3 linked regions of the Drosophila melanogaster genome follow. Changing the gene in region 2 together with the main gene of any one other region gives a genetic interaction. Each region holds a gene or a part of one and is shown on either strand. Other genes may lie near its edges.

Region 1 (6,258 bases), 8.6 Mb from region 2:
TCAGACGAAAGGTGTTAACTCGTTGCTTGGCTTGTGTGATCTTTTCGCTGTTTCCGGCCAATCGGGACCTTCGCATACCGTCAGAAGAGTACGAAAGTGCGCTCCGGGAGCTGTCTATGCTGCTGGCCAACAAGAAGTTCACCGACATCAAGCCCTTGATCGTTCGGGCCGTTAGCCTGCTCAAGGAATCCACATTTCCCGATATCCGGGCCGTACCTCATATGGTCTGCCGACTCATCAGCATCTTCTACGAGGAGAGCTACCTGACAACCATTCCAGAGGTCTGGGACTTTGAATTCAAGTTAATGGCCACGTAGCTTACCGACCAAGTGAAATATTCTAAACATCCTAACAGCCAGTTGTGTTATTTTCCAGGTGTTATATATCATCTAACTAGGTATAGGTTAAATAAAGTGATAAATTTTAAGCAATTTTCAAAATTGCATAAAATGTATAAAAGTGAACATTTATTTATACATACTTTTTAGCATAATACAAACATGGGGCCAAACACTGAAACTTTGTTTTAAATCTTGTAGACTATAACTTTATTTGATATACATGTCTCGAAAGTGCATACTTGAAGCTATTTGTTTAAGCGTAGTTACAATAACAAAATCGACATCAGTACCTGTATATAAACTCTTCACTGACCATGATCATCGACAATCATGACAGTAATAATCCACTAAATGTACACGAAAATATAATGATACACTTGAATGAACTTTAAACAAAATATAAATACGTAGGGCTACACGAACGATAACAGATGAACATTAAGGGTCTACTCTTAGGTATTGCTACATGAAAATATAAATAACGATAATACAGTGCTCGGTACGAGCACGCTGACACGGAGGCAGCCGGGCTCCGCTTGGCAATCATTCTTCTAGGGCAAAATTGGACAGCTGCAGGTGCTGAAGATTGTTGCGCGCATCGAAATATCCCGTATCAGTGGGATTGTCTGGTGTCGGGACAAATGGGGGCTCGGTATTGCCTATATTCTCCCAGTCGATGCAAGCAAAGTGACGCATTTGTTGCACTTCCTTTGCGGCCGGTCGCTCATTGGGATCCATGGTCAGGAGCAGTTCCACAGCCTCCATGGATTCGACGGATAATGCCTCATCACCTTCTGGCCATTCGATGTCTGTGAGGAATTGGTAACAAAAATATAGGTATAATATTTGCAAGAAAACTCTTGAAATAACAAAACTCACTCTTATTCAGAATGTTGTCAAATACTTTCTGAGGTGTCTCGTCGTTAAAGGGTGGAATGCCGGTCATGAACTCGTAGAAACAGACGCCCAGAGCCCACCAGTCGACGGCCGGACCGTGACCTTGCTTCAGCAGTAACTCCGGCGCCAGATAATCAGGTGTGCCCAAGATGCGCTCATTAGACACGCGAGCCCCGCGACGCACTGATTTCGGTGTGCGGAACGGGGTATTGATGTTAACGTTTTTCGGCGTCTTTGGTAGATTGCCGGCTCCATGATTGATAGGCGACATCGTGGGATCGTCGGACAGTTTCAGATGGTACTGAATGCCTGACATCTTATCGGCGGTCGCATGCTCCCGTTTCTTGTTCTCAATGGACAGCGGAAGAGCGAACCGAGTGGCCTTGAGCTTTCCAAGAAGACCACCATCCCGACGTGGCAACTTCTGTGAAGATACGGGCGTAGAGAAGACCACGTTGGCCACATTTGCTTCCGGACCAAGCAAATGATTTATGGGCATTTCGTCATCGGATAAAGAGCGCACCTTTAGCACACCACGGATGGGCGAGGAACGGGCCTTGCGCTTCTTGGGCGTGCTGCTGCCAATATTAAGGATTTCAATTTCCTGTGTTAGTCCGGTGTTGGTACTTCCATTGCTTGAACTGCAGCCATCGGTATCCATGCTGGACATGTTGTCGGAGCGATTGACCAAATTGATCTTTCGCTTCATGCCGCGCAGGAAGTCGGGGCGTTTAAAGTGCTTGGACAGATTCCGAAACGGCGAGTTCATGTTGATGCCACTCATCTCGTTGCCGTTGGTCACGTTATAACTGCGCGAGTAATCTGAACAGCTAAAATCCTCCTTGGATTGGCTTAGGTTGTCCACATTCTTCTCAATCGACGAAGCCGTGCTCTCGCTATTCAGATTCAAGTGGCAGCTGGAATAGTCGTCGCCCTTGCGACTGGACACCCCTGAATCCTCCGGCCCCTTTGAGATGCGATTTCGCTAAAGGGAACAGTAGAGGTAGTTATTAACTGAACTACCTACATATGTGGTATACATATCTTTTAACCTATTTAATGTTGGTTAGTTGTAAAGTTAGTTATAAAATACTAGTATTTTAATACAGAAAGGGAAACCGCACAATGGACAGACACACACACATGCACATGCCAACGCACCTCGTCGACCGATCGCCTGCGCACCATGGAAAACTCAAACGAAGCCTCGATTGCGTTATCTATCTTGGGCAAATGTTTGCCATCATTGGTGGCCATGTTGCTGCTGTCTTGCTCGGCCAGCTTGCAGCCCTTTCAGAGAATCAACCATTTATGCAAATAAATACAGAGATTACGGGTTTGGCCGATTTCCAGCCACTTACCTGACAGGGTGCCGCATCCAAGACGAATTCCACGCGCCGCTTGCTGGGGATCGCATTGCCCGCAGCAGCACCGTCCTTTGACTCCAGTGGTGGTGAGCACTTGCTCAGGTCGGCCGAGTTACAAGTGTGGAACGAACAAGACGAGCTGCTATCCTGGGGCTGAAGATTCGGAGAATGATAGATGAATAAATCCATTTTAATTGCAATATGTTTACCCACATTTACGTTTGTAGTGCAGGTATGAGTAATGGATTCATTGGCCTCCTCGGCAGAAAAGAAGGGGGAAACACCAGATATCTTGCTATCGCTCGTCTTCTCTGCATCATTGAGCGAGGTGTCGCCCTCGCTATCCGACAGCTCCATTATCAGACTATGCTTGTTGATGGCCTGCAGCAAGTGGGATGTCCCCGTGGCCACCGAGCCCATTCCGTTGTTTTGTCCACTTGAAACAGAACCGAAGTCATTCAGTTTCTTCTCTGACCCAAAAGACAGGTGCGAAGTAAGCGACAAAAGCTGGCCCGGCGTGCGGGCGTTTAAATTCGGTGAGCAGTTTATAAGGTCTGATATTTCCAGATCTCTTCGCATATCGATTTTGCTCAACCCAAAATCAGTAAGCTTCACATGGCCACTGGAGGAGAGCAACATGTTGTCCGGTTTAATATCTCTGTGGACAATTCCGTGCTGATGCAGATACTGCAGCGCCATCACCATCTCGGCCACGTAGAACCGGGCCGTGGGCTCGTCAAAATACCCAAACATGGCCAGCAGTGACTTGAGATCCCCGCCCACCATGTACTCCATCACCAGGTAGACGTAGGAGAGCGATTGCAGGGAGTAGAAGAGACTGACACAGAACTGAGAGCGGGAGAGGGCCAGGGCATTCCGCTCCGTGATTACCTGGGACACCATGTTCTTGTTGATCATCTCTGACTTGCGCATCACCTTGATGGCGAACAGCCGCTTCGAGTCGTTGTTCTTGTAGCCCAGGAAGACTTTTCCAAAGGCGCCGCGGCTGATTGGCTTAATGATGACAAAATCCTTGATAGTGGGAAGCTGTATAAGAAAGCGAATGTATCCATTACTATATAATAAAGTGACCTAAGTGGTGGTGGTAATTCTTATAGCCCAAGGCAGAACAAAGGAAAATAATATAGCTAAAGTTAGACATAGAAAAACTTCAGTTCTAGATATAAAAAATAAAAAATCTTAAAAAAGCATATGTGTATATATATAATTGGATAAAAGAAGATATATGTACATCAATAGCCAGTAAAAGGAAATGAAGAAAGGAGCTATGTAAAAAAAACAGAAGATAAATAGAACTGTAAAAATGTTTTTGAAATGGAAATCCTATATAACATCACATTTGAACGTACATATGTTTTTCGTTTTTCCTATAATACATAAACATAACCTTTTCATTAATTCTTGAACATGTACTGCCCTTTTTTAATCAATTTACATAAACACTGTGTTTAGAGGCATTTCAAATTTTCTTGATTAGCAACCGTGGCTAACTGTAAACCACCCACGTGTGGTAATCGCCAGTTTGCGATTCCTCCGCGTACCTTGGCATTCTGGGAGTGATTCTCCGGCTTGGTGGTAAGGATGTTGATCTTGTCCAGCAACTGCTCACTGTCGATCAGCGAGTGGGTCTTCTTGGGGGTTTTGTAGTCGATGTGGACATCCGATTGCGAAGTCGCATCGGCGTTTTCCATATCTTCCAGGTTTCCGACGGTCAGAGTGCGATTTTCTCGCGGTTTCGCACAATATATACAATTATCGTACAGAGATATACAATGTATAGAATTCGATATAGACCTGAATGCTATTAGCTTGTTTATTGCACAATTTTTATTTCAAACACACATTTAAAACAGCGCGTCTATTTTCTATGACCTGAACTAGAGGTGAAACTAATTCGATTCTTAGTATTATCGATGTTTCTAGAAATTTGACAACATCGATGTTATTGCAGTTTAAAATTAAACGATTTTTTAAACTAAAATTAAATATTACCAAAAAGAAATGCATATTAGTAAGATACCGGTTGAATATTTCAAGTAAATTTATTCAAATATTTCTTTATGCATATATATAAAAGTAGATATACACAAAAATGTTAAAAATGTAACAGTTAGTAACTATTGATAAATGGTTAGGCTTTTATTAATTTGATTTAAATATTATTTTTTTTTAAGAAACACATAGCAGGATCACCATATCACCATCACCATTATGAACAGTCGATAATTCCCGATAGCTATAAATTGTTATCGAATCCCAGCTCGCTTTGCAACACTTGCGTTCCACCTGGAATTTATTTACGTGCTGAAATTCGAAGTTTTTTTTGTGATAAAACAGCACTCCATGAATGAAAGTGTGTTCCGGATACAGCCAAACAGACAGTGAGCAATGCGCCATACCCTGTCATCAAATAGCAGCCGCCCAGAGTGAGGATCCGCTTGCCAATCCGTCAGAGAAATCCCCGCCAAGATGATGCCATACCTTCGCCGCCTTTTCAGCCAGGAGCTCTCTCCGGCTGCTCAGGGCGATTTTCTGGGCTGCTTGCAGCAGGCGCCCAGTGTCCTGGCCACCGGATTCCCTGGAGCACCCGCACTGGAGAGCCTAAGTTGGTTACACAACCTAGCGCCGTGCTTCCCGCTGCGAGGCGATCAAATTCAGGTCATCCACGAGCCAAAGCACTTCTACGAAACGCTGGTGCAACGAATCGGTCAGGCCAAACGCCGTATAGTGCTGGCCAGTTTGTACCTGGGCACTGGGCAACTGGAGAACGCAATGGTTCAGACGTTGCGTCACAGCCTGGAGCAACAGTCTGCCCTGAGGCTCAACGTGCTGTTGGACTTTACACGCGGCACGCGGGGAACCCTCAACTCCAAGACCATGTTGCTACCCCTGGTCCGCGACTTTGCGAGCCAGGTGCAGCTATCCCTGTACCATACGCCTGATCTGCGCGGGATGACAAAGCGACTAGCACCGCCACGGTGGAATGAGCTTCTCGGACTACAGCACATGAAGGTCTACCTGTTCGACGATGCCGTGATCATATCAGGCGCCAATCTGTCCAATGACTACTTCACCAACCGGCAGGATCGATACATACTCATTGAGGACAAACCGTTGGCGGATTTCTATGCGCAGTTCATCGAACGCGTTCAAGAGTTTAGTTTGGCAGTGGCGCCAGATGCCAGCGAGGGACTGCACCGCAACTGGCGAATACTGCCGTACGAGGGCACCAAGGAGCAGTTTATCCAGCTTGCCCGTAAACGTATTTCCGATTTAGTGCAGGAGACGTTTCAGCGGCAGGCGCGAACTAAAGAGCAGAATCCGCAGGCAGACACATGGATTTTTCCGCTGCTTGAGATGGGCCAGATCGGCATTCATCACGACAGCGTGGTGACCAAGCGGCTGCTCTCCAACTGCTTGTCTGGATCACGGCTGAAACTGGCCACCGGGTACTTCAACCTGACGCAGGAGTACATGGACACGCTCACGCACAAGTGCCTGGCCCAATGCAGCATACTGATGGCTCATCCAAATGTGAGTGGCTATCAGTAATTAGTTGACCAATAGTAACCCGATTTAATTCATTTTCCAGGCAAACGGCTTTCAGGGTGCCAAAGGACCAGCGGGCGGAA
Region 2 (4,837 bases):
AATCGCGAATTAAAAATCTTGCCATTTCTTCGGCATGGGAAGTACAGTGGGTACTAAGTGACGTGAACAACAAGAAATTTATATGGATAAATACGTCTGAAGCATAGTTTTGACATCCTTAAAAAAATATTACGCATACGTACTGTATAACATTCTTTTAAAGTTACAAAATTATGCTTAATGTGCCATTGTTTAATAGCAAACAGTTCCATTTTACTAAATGTTGCCTTACTAAGCAACATATTGCAAAATATTAAGTATACGCCTTGTCTAACACTTAACAATTTGTTATAGTATGCATTTGCAACATAATTATTTAGTTATTTGGATCGTTTACTTTTTTTTTAGAAATATATTTCTAATATTATACCCCATATTTACTGTTCTGTCATAGGTGTCACTGATGTTTAAAAATACACTACCCGAACACTAGAGATGCAAAAATAAACAAACGAAATGAAAGGTCTATTAAATGTGTGTGGCATGTGAATGGCTGCAGGGACAAGCGCCAGCTTTTCTTTTCCTCCGAAACGCAGCAGAATAACAAACACAAACGGCAAAAAAGCAAAACAATAGCAAACAAATACCGAATTTTTCAAGAAAATAATCATGGCGAGATTTTTGTTGTTCACTCTGCTGTTTTCGGGAAATGACAAAGACAGGCAACGGAAGCGCCGAAAAGGAACTCAAAAATAAAATTAGACAAATACACAATTTTTTTTTGCAGATTTTCATGCATACTACACTGGCATTACGCATTACGCAAATGAAGGTGAAATTTGAAAAAAAAAAACAAAATACTAAAAACATACAAATGCAAACAAATTAATGATTTATATTCGTGTATAACAAACTTAAATATTCAAGTTCAAAATAAAGTGTCTGAAAGCAAGTTTAATTATGACTAAAATACTTTTTTTCTGCCTACAGGAACCACGGATTTACAGATGCTATAAATAAGTGTAGCAACAGTTTTAGAGCCACCTAACCACGTGCCGCACGAGACTCATTTGGATCCCGATCCCAATCCCAATTCCCCTTCCCCAATCCCTGGCACACTCATCATCCAAAGTCCAGCCAGGTAGACGCCATTCGTCTGCCGCCGAATCTTTGCTGCCTTGATTATTTTCGGATCTGTCAACCCTTCTCGCCTGCTTTTCCTAATTTTCCTTTAATGAAAGGGGGTGGAAGATGGTTTGAAGGAGGGGGGGGTGGGGGTGTGCACAGTTATACCTGGCATTGTTTATATTTAGAATTTCATATGCTCCCGCTTGCCGAACTGTCCATAATATGTCCATCAAAGTGTCTTTTCAGTTTGACATCCATTGGCGGCAGCAGAGTGCCTTACTTTTTGTATCTTTTTGGGGAGGTAAGAGGGTGGTATTGATAAACATTTCGACGGACAGACGTGATTACTACCATATGTCCGACCAGATCCGTGGCAAGCAATATTGTGCTTATCAAACTGTTTCGGCTCATCCAATTAATACACTTCACGGCCCCCGAACTCCACCCCACTGCACTCGTGGCTGGCAGATATAATGAAACTAATTAGCATTTGACAAACACCAATCTCATATTATATTCCTCATATACAGTGGGCGTTAGTTTGTACAAAAGCAAACGCTTCACTGATGAAATTTCCAGAAATTTTGAGTGCAATATCACATGAAAACTTGTTGATATTCTGTAAATTACTCCATGAAATAAGTATACACTTGGGGTTGTAGGTAAATTGCTATAGAACCAGGCGCTGTTTTATCTATCATTAAAACCTGCTCTTGACCCTATGGACTTCATTTTGTTACCACCTTTGTATTAACAAGTAAACAAAGTATGGCTGTGTTGATTATCAAATCGAATAGGTTAATAAAAATAACTACATTTTTGATCTTTAGTCCACTACTGGGGTAGACCACTGTACCAACAAAGAATCCGCAAAAACAGGACCCAATTGGCTAAGGCAAACTTCAGTTGGGAAAACAAATTGTAAGCCCACAAATAATGATTTAGTCACATGGAATCGAAATCAAGATAAATGCGCGTGCTATATGGTTGTTTTCTTATTTTTTTTTCGCTTTGAGCAATTTGTTCGATTTGCTAATGCGAACAGCTTAGGCAAATATTTTGGCATAAAAGTCAGCAAGTGACAAAATAGTAGCTATTAATTGTTTGTAAGTCGGCTCGCTAAACATGGCCAGTGCGAGTCAATAGTTGTTTATTGTTTGGCTCACAGCGAAACAAAGCGGCCTGAAAATGTTGTTAACCTCAAAAACCGCCAAGAACGTCAGCCAGATCGGTCGGTATTATAGCGGTGGGAGGAGGAAGAGGAGGATGAGGGGGGGGGGGTGGCTCAGCCTACAGAAACTAGAGAATCAAATGCTATGGTAAAGCATAAGCCCCCGACCCCCCGCAAAAGGTTGACGTAACAGCTAGGCAGCTAAACTCTTGAGAAATGGAAGCACCACTATACTTTCGGCGGTATTGAAACAGCTGTCTTTCCATAATCGTAGCATTTGAATGGTAACCACACGCGCGCATATTAATATGAAAACATTTTCAAAAACCGAAAAACCAACTCACCAGCAGACTTCTAAAACAACAGATATCCAACAAATCACAGACACAACAGTGCTATTTTAATTGACAGTCTTTAGATATCTCATAATTTGCCATGCACTCGGCTATTTTTAAACTCTGATTTTGAATTTATTTTTGGTTCCTATTTCTGTGGCCTCCACACTTTCATCACTTTCAGATCGGTTCTCTTCAAGTCGCGCGCTGCAACGGTTAAAATTCCTGTCCACACATCCGATTCCACTGCACTTCTTGGGCACAGGCACTTTGGTTTCTGGTTATCACACTGCGCTGGACGGGCAAAGAGGCGTACAAAGGCACAATGGGAACTAATTTAAATTGAATTCGAACTCAGTGCTCGCGGCCAGTGGAAAAGTGGAAAATAGGGAAACTCAAACCGCAGCAGGGCAATAAGGCGAAACAGTCAGCGACGACGTTAAAATTAGCACTGAAACGCGCCGTGCGAATGCGCGCCTATGATTTCTTTACCCACTCTCACTGCTCCCAAGCGGAGGTGGCCTCTTTTCTAGCTAGATATAGCTATAAATATAGGTAAGATCACAAGAATATCGAAAAAAAGCATAAGATAATTCTTATCACCTCTTTCGCCGGATTTTTGAAGTAGGATCATCAGAGATAACTGCTTTATATGAAACAAAGCTAGTAAGACATTAAAAGGAAATCGCTCCTATGAGAGCGTTGACAACGTTAAACTTAAAGCAAATATAAACTATCACAATTGAACACCCTTTAAATTGTTATATATGTAAGTGATTTTTTTTGGTTTATTTATTTTATTTTGTTGTTTATTTGGTATAATTACTTTATAAGTAGAACTGTTCAAAAACAAGCCAAGTGAGCTCCTCTGTTTCCCCAAGTACTCTCACGCTCTTTTTTTGCTCTCTCCAGTTGGTGATGACCGTGGGGCCTGGCGCTCTCTTTTGAAGAAGATTTTTGTAAACAAAACCGCGACACGCATTGTTGCTGCTAATGTGATTGTTGTTGTTCTGATAAACGCTAATTTGCCTATTGATATTGATGTTAATGTGCCTTTGCTCACACAGTCGCGGCCAAGGAGATAACACTGCCCCTTAATACATAGATCGTTTCAATCTAAAATGGATGCAAATTTAACATTTGGGCATAGGAAAACGTATGGGTAGACAACGAATATTTTTGTTAAATGAATTGATCACTTTCGATAAGTGTGTAAATCATAAATTCCTGAACTTAAGCTATTGACGTAGTGGGTGTGTCATGTTTGTACTTTGGTAACTGCTTAACACACAGATTTATTTGCATCATAATCACTGTTGAAAGATTTCTACAGGTTATATACACAAAAAGAAAATCTATCATTTGAGGTAGAGCACTACGTAGAAGAATATTATATTTTATACAGATGGCATCGTTGTTTGTTAATTCAAAACTTTTAATACTTCTAATATACTACCATAACTCCTTGTACGTCCTGGCGAGGGTTCGGATGTCCTTCTCTTGAGTATTGTGTTGAATACACAGATAGTTCCTATGATTGCTCCAGTCCCTGATGCTGTGATGGTACATCACTTCCACAATGAGCAGTTCCTCGTAGAGCTCCTCCCAGACTATGCCTATTGTGCTGGCACACGTCTCCAAGAGCCAACGGAAGGAACAGGGGAACAACTGACGCAGTTCATGCTTGTCATGCCTCCGAATTCTTTTCATATAGCCGTGTAGAAGCCAGCAATCAAAATTTGACACTTGCAATAACAGCGTCTCAGGGCTTGGCGGCTCATCATTGATATCGCTCGCTACTTGGTCTGATGCTCTATCAGAACCTTCCGGATTCAAAATTTTTTCCAGATTGCGACGGGGCAGATCTAGAGGGATGTTTAATGGATCCATGGTCCCTTCCTCGAAGGTTTGCAGTGAGCTAAGGCTGTCAAGTGGTATCTCGTTATCGTTGAGTTTGAGAAGAAAGCTGGGCGTTTCGGTAACATCCCAAAACGGATTATTTATCTCAAGTTGCACACGCCTTGCGTCGCGCATTGTTATACGTTTCAAATATCGGGCTCCATAGGTTCCAGTGGGCTGTGTGAACCGAAAGTCCGGCCGTTTCTCCTTACGCTTTAGCTCGCTTATCCACGTCTCGGTTTTAATTTCAGTGTTGGCGCGGTATTCTCGACCGTCACCTCGGATTATTGTTAGTGGGCGGAATATGCCCACGTTTTGGATGTCCTCCTGGCAGGCAAGCTCCTCTACTCGTAGTTTAAGGCCA
Region 3 (6,345 bases), on a different chromosome or scaffold from region 2:
GAATAGGGCTCAGTACCTTGTGGGGTTGTGGAGATGCTAGGCTAGACCAGACACAGCTCCATTTCCCCACTCCCACAGAAATTGCGAAACTTCTTTGATTTGATACGCACCCGAACAGCGATCCCAGAAAGCCCTTCTGCTGGGTCAACTTCTTCTCCGCCTCGGCCATCAGCTGGAGCGCCTTCTGTTCGTTGTCACCCATGTCGAGGATTTATGTCCGCCTCGGCACTAATTGCATCTAAGTTTAAGACTTGTTCGGCTTTTCAGCGAGTGTGTGTACGTATTGGGATCTTTTTTCGAGAAAATAAAATCAATATGCTGACTTGGTGTGACCGCAGAAGTGGTGCCAGTGTTACCATCTCACAGCATTCTCAAATAACTCATGCCAGTGTTGTGAAATGCAAGGGCTGTAACGTTTGTTCGTTCAAAATAATTCTCAGCCGCCTGAATGCGTCACCTACAGTCTGGCAGGTGCATTTTAAGAACAGCTGCCCTAAACGTTGCAAACAATCTTTTTTCAGATATTTTATTAAATTTTATATATATTCGCTTTTAGTTCAAAAGCATTTACATATTGTATCCTATAGCTACAGATATTTCTGGCCAAAGTTGAATATACTTGTACACTTAAACACTTTGCAGCAGTATTGTAACTTATGTATTATTTTAAATGGCGCTATAGCGCACTACGAACGCACAATATTACACTATTACTTTTATAATGTATCCAGCATTAAAATTTTGTTATCAGTCACCTCGGTGAATATAGGCATTTCGAAACACGTTTGCTTAGTTTAAACATTTAATTTGATCTCTTTAAAATGCATTAAGTGATCGGATCGTGTACGAAAACCATTAAACAGATATATTAAATTACTTTTGAGGGAGGCCCAACACTGACGATGAATATAACTTAAGCAGTATTTTCGATATGAAGGGGAAGGGGCAAAAACAAATAAATTCTATAAACATCGAACAAATCAATTTGAACGGGAACTACAATTTTAAAAGATGATGGGAGAGGAGGATACTTTCTGGGCTATAAATGAAGTTGGCCAGGGCATTCGTGAATTACGTTAAACTAACATTCGGCCTTATAATGATAGTTGGGCTGGCTACGCTTATGTGAACATCTTCTCCAGCATTTTCCTAAGTTTCTCCTGGGCATATCGGATCTTCTGGTACAAGTCTTTAGACACGCCGTTCTCCACAATGGTCGAAAATCGGTAGGTGCGGAAGTTCTTCTCCTGGTCCATATAGGTTATAGCACTCATGCGCGGGCAGAGGATGAGCTTCATGTGATCTGAGAAGTTTAGCTAAGAAGGATAGATAGTTCATTAGGACCAGATGTACATGATGCCGATGCTGTACAATTATACAAACCTGCACAGAACCGTTGGTCAAATGCATAACTACGGCACATGTTGTACGGAACCAGGAGTGTAAATGGGGCATACGCGAGATTTGATCGCTCTCAATGTTCACATTGTTGGCACCTGCCTTCACCAGGTGCTCGATCATGTAGCGCTTAAAGTACGACAGCAGCTTCATCTTCTTGTCAAGCGACTTGCAGTAATCCGTGGTGGTCATGTACGTCTCCTTGCCATCCTTGTCGATGAAGTGTACGTTGATCTGATTCGGCAGCAGGATCAGCTTTGTGGTGTCGTTGAACATCACGCCGATGCCCTCATCGCACAGCTGGTAACCAAATCCGTACTTGTCGCTGTAGTCAACCCACTTGGATATCCAGAAGAGCGGCTGCGCTGCAGGATCTGTGTTCTCGTCGCCCAGATTGCCTTGCAGAATTCGCGGCTAAAGAAGTGAAGAGGTATAAGAGTCTTAAATTATTTAACTAATATAGAGCAAAAGGTACTTACCTTTCCGTTGATAAGATTAGTGAGCTGCTGGTACAGGCTCTCGATATCGCTGCGATAGTCCTCGCTGTGGCGGCACACCTGCGCTGACGCGGTAATGGCGTCGTGCAGATTGGCCTTGAGGAAGGTCGACTCCAGACGAGTGTCGTCGGGCCTGATGCCGTTCATCTCCATCAGTGGCTTGCGGTGCATCGAATCCTCGATGGTGTCGTTGCTGCCGATACGCGGCGCCATTGTCAGACAAGAGCTGGGCAAGAACATGGGCACCTTTGAGCCCTTGAGGAACTCAAAGTTCAGCAGCTGACCAATTGCCGGGCGGCTCTCCGGATTTGGCTGCAGCATGGCGATGACCATATCCGCCGCCGGTTTCCTTAAGTAGCTGGGCACGCGGTACTCGCACTTCTTGATTTTCGAGTACGTATCCTTCAGAGTCTTGGTTTCGAACGGCGGCTGGCCCACAAGCAGTGTGTACATGACGCAGCCAATCGACCAGATGTCCACCTCGAAGGAGTGGCCCTTCTTGGTGAGGATCTCCGGGGCTATATAGTTGGGCGTTCCGCATAAGGTCTTTTTTCGCTCGCCCTCATACTCAATGCGCGTGGCCAACCCGAAATCCCCGATCTTCACGTGCAACAAATCGTTGAGGAAGAGATTGCCCAGCTTCAGATCTCGATGGATAATGCGGTTATCGTGCAAGTACTTAACGCCCTGGATTATCTGGTAAATGTAGTAGCGGCATTCGAACTCCGTAATGCTTTTCCTACGTTTGTGCAGCTCCATCATGGACTGTAAGTCGGAGAGGTAAGTGTCATGGTGGCATATTGCAGAGATGTTCTATTAAACTCACTCTTTTCTTGCACAGCTCCAGCACAATGTAGATATTCTGCGAATCTTCAAAGTAGTTGTGAAACTTGACAATGTTCGGATGGTTAAGGCTGCGGTGAATAGTTATCTCCTGGGCGGTCTTCTCCTTCTGATTGTGTTTGATCATCAGCTTCTTGGATACGATCTTGCCGGCGAAGACGTCGTCGGTTTCCACATCGATGATCTCGTAACATTTTGCAAACCCGCCCTGCATAAAGCATATTAATTTTGTATTTAAAAACATTATACAAAAACATAACCTTATACTGTATTAAAAACAGATCTATGATAAAACTTTGCATATAGGTATTTTCAAGTAAATGGCGTTTAATAAACGTATTGATGTCTATTTTACAAACATATTCTGTATAAACTTTTTATCCATATTGGTTGGCAACATAAAATTAGTAATTTATATTTAACAATCACATGTTTAGTACCTTTGCTCCAATCTGCGGAGCCCCTTCCAAGAAAATATTTATATGCCAATAGCACAACGAGGAAATTGTTGGTTCAACTAAGTTGCAACAGTTCCTTTTCTTGTCTATGTAAATTCGAAGAAGCCGCGCCAAAAAAAAAAACTGAACAAGCAGCCAACTGCATGAACACACACACACAGGCTCGTACAAGATTCCCACACACAGGCTCTCTTTTTCTCTCCTGCTCTTAAAGGAGAGAGCTACAAAAACAACAAGGGAATGCTCATCAGCAAGGAAAACGGAACGAAAACCGGGATGTGGAAATGGATATGTGTGTATGCGGGTGCGTGCATGTGTGCGTGTAGGTAAATGTGTGATCCCTTCGACTGATCTGATCCCGGGCATCTGCAAATCCGCATCCGGACTCACCTTGCCGAAGAACCGCATGCGCTTGTAGGTTTTCCGCTGGTTGATGTCGACGAGGCGATCCGGAATATCCGTGCTCTTATCCTCGGGCTTCGCGGCCATCTTGCTCTCCTTTCTTCTTTACTACGGACTGCCCCTTTTGCGTTTGCGTTCGCCTGGAGTTTTGCGGCGATACTCCTCGTTCTGAGCCTATAATTCCACCGGCGATCGGCTGAAAGTGCCTCGGAAACGGAGATCAGATCCACACGGTTGACAAGAGAAGCGGCGATCAAATCTCGGTTTTGCCCATCGAATGCACGAAAACCAAGCACAAAGCGGAGAACGCGCCGAAACCGTTCGATTTTTTAAATGCCAAAATGAATTGGACGTGAAGCGTCAGCTGAATTGGTGTGCCCGTTTCGCTGGCTATCGCACACTTTCTGGTATGTATCGCGGTATTTTGTTGAGTGTTGAACAACAAATTCTATGGCCGTTACCCTTTTGAATTTACCTACTGGCGTTTACTCTGTTCGAATTGAGCGCAATATTTTTTCCTATTGCTCTGCGCAACACTGTGTTTAACCGCTATTTATTTGAAAATCTACAAAAACTAACGTTACATTTTTGAAATTTCAAAAGGGTTTCATAAATTGAGTTTACTAAACAGTCAACGGTCAACTTTATATTGTAGAGCCCCTTTTCTAATTTGAATTGCTGCAAACGTTTTCTGAGTAAAAATACTGCCACCTTGTAATTGCAGGTTTCGATCCTGATTTGTGTTAAAAAGAAATTATTAGAAACAGCTATCTCAAAGCCTTCTATGTTTTTCAGTTAAACTTTCAAATAACGGTTAAAAATAATTTTGATAAAAAAAAAACAACACTAAAACACACACAAGTAAATAGAAAAAATAATGTGTTTACTTAATAACTTTATTAAATAATCCCCAGATTTTGTTTTTCTACATTGATTTAATAACGACTACGAATACCCCACTATTGGTGTAGATTTCCGTTTAGATTTTGACTATGCCTGCTGATATCTCGAAGGGGTCGCTTGGGTTGGAGGATTGTATGTTCTAGAATAGGTCTATTTGGGGTCTCTTGGTTATTGCCATCGTTTCGTTCTCTGGGATTACTCCTTACAAGCTGCCCCGTTTTGGCTCTTGTTGCTGTTCTGATTTTAATGTTTTGTTTTTGTTTGCGAAAGAGGCCTTATAAGTAGAAAAATGTGGTTTTAGTTCTTAGTTGTCGTCGTTAATACATAAATTATTACATTAAATATATTATCAATAGTTTAGTTTCATAGTTGGTTGCTTTGCCAGTGTACGCAGTCTCTCCAAAATGCCTTGTGTTTCCGTGTGGGTGAGTGTGTGCTTGTGTGTTTTAGGCCGAAGAAGTGGCTGGTGGATCTGATCGTGGATCTGAGTGTGGGTGTGGGTGTCAGTGAGTGTCCTGCGGTTATGTCTTAAATTTTCGCCGATCTATCTTATCAGCATTCCCATCCCATCGCATCGCATCCCATCTCCGACTCAGTCTCCGCGAACTCCTCTCCGCACTGAGCTCCCAAAGTTGAACTAGAAATAGGCGACTCGATACAGCTTTTCTCAGCTAGATCCGGTTGTGGAGGTGACCTGACTCCGCTGCAGGCGCAGCCATTCAACAAACTCATCCAGCATGACGGGCCCTGCAAAAAGATGGGGGTAACTAAATGCTCCGTTTCAAGTTCTTATTTTAACTTATTTATCAGCTTCTTTTAATACGGTTGCGAAATACATAGTTCAGTTTAGTTTAGTTAGCTCCTTTGTGTTACTTACAAGCTCCGTCGATATCGTAGTTTGATAGATCAATGCTAATGGTGCGCGAGAACTCGAGAATATTACACCACTGATCTTTGTTGATCGCCTTGTACTTTGATTGCTCTAGAAACTGTGCGAACTGTGGATACAGAGGCCAATGTTTGCCCAAAAGTAGTTGAAGCATGGCTTTGGCAGTGAGTATATCCATACACCGTTGGTCCGAGTCCTGCGGAATATGCAGAGCCTTATTAAACGCAGCTCATTGTTTATTCAAATGGATTACTGACCTTGGCAAAGTCGTAGGCGTATCTGTAGATGCTTTTAAAGGAGTTGGGATCGTTGAGTATGCTGCGCAGATAGTCCAATTTCACAACCATTTTCGCTGCCGAATCGCAGTCGAGTTCTGTGAGGCCCTTTAGCCACTCCTGCTGGCTGAAGAAGCCCATCTGGGTGGCGCCCATTTTGTAGGCCAGCACCAGCATCACAATATTCTCGGGCTCCACGCCGATATCCTCGCAGAATTTTTCCATGCCATCGGGACCTGAAGAATCAGTTTGTTACATAAGTATTTCGAAGGGCCAATAAGAAATAAATAAGCAATTTCTTTATATACCCAGAATTTGGTATGCCTGAGCGATTTAAGAAGATTGCCGATATCTTTATATTGCACATATTCAAATAACATAAAACACTGCAGTGTCATCCAACTCACCCAATGTCTCCGGTTCATCTGGTGTTGTGTACTCCTGGAACCAGGCCATGCAACGCTTTTGACTGAAGCCATCTTCCAATCTGATATGGCGTCTGTGGATAGAAACAACAGGTTTTTTACTTGAGCAATTGGATGTCGTTCGATGATTCAATCAAATTTACACACTCTGCCATCCGAATTGCATGGAATTCGCCTTCACCACGTATAGACCAGAGTTTTAATCGAATCGAATCGAATCTGTCGCTAATGCCGTGTGGCCTCTTTTGTTTATTC

The links.
Region 1: of tws (region 2) and gwl, changing one suppresses a phenotype caused by changing the other (phenotypic suppression), as found in Drosophila melanogaster (one study listed by BioGRID).
Region 3: of tws (region 2) and polo, changing one enhances a phenotype caused by changing the other (phenotypic enhancement), as found in Drosophila melanogaster (one study listed by BioGRID).

What each region holds. Positions count from the first base shown.
Region 1 is NT_033777.3:18,744,631-18,750,888, reverse strand, and holds gwl (greatwall), read right to left. Parts: upstream 4,520-6,258; 5' UTR 4,318-4,519; coding exon 4,168-4,317; intron 3,653-4,167; coding exon 2,819-3,652; intron 2,759-2,818; coding exon 2,600-2,758; intron 2,529-2,599; coding exon 2,400-2,528; intron 2,224-2,399; coding exon 1,221-2,223; intron 1,151-1,220; coding exon 885-1,150; 3' UTR 529-884; downstream 1-528. Other genes in the region: Epg5 (ectopic P-granules autophagy protein 5), read left to right, coding at 5-317; PGS1 (phosphatidylglycerophosphate synthase 1), read left to right, coding at 5,096-6,160, 6,219-6,258.
Region 2 is NT_033777.3:10,136,744-10,141,580, forward strand, and holds the start of tws (twins), read right to left. Parts: upstream 3,030-4,837; 5' UTR 2,584-3,029; intron 1-2,583. Other genes in the region: TAF1B (TATA box-binding protein-associated factor RNA polymerase I subunit B), read right to left, coding at 4,027-4,837. UniProt on the Drosophila melanogaster protein: Could perform a substrate recognition function or could be responsible for targeting the enzyme complex to the appropriate subcellular compartment.
Region 3 is NT_037436.4:20,307,650-20,313,994, reverse strand, and holds polo (polo), read right to left. Parts: upstream 4,342-6,345; 5' UTR 3,686-4,341; coding exon 3,587-3,685; intron 2,947-3,586; coding exon 2,722-2,946; intron 2,661-2,721; coding exon 1,878-2,660; intron 1,813-1,877; coding exon 1,384-1,812; intron 1,317-1,383; coding exon 1,122-1,316; 3' UTR 529-1,121; downstream 1-528. Other genes in the region: alphaSnap (alpha soluble NSF attachment protein), read right to left, coding at 111-202; SCCRO4 (squamous cell carcinoma-related oncogene 4), read right to left, coding at 5,169-5,248, 5,379-5,586, 5,648-5,901, 6,073-6,164. UniProt on the Drosophila melanogaster protein: May play a role in regulating both nuclear and cytoplasmic aspects of the mitotic cycle. Regulates localization of the augmin complex during mitosis by ensuring its location on mitotic spindles.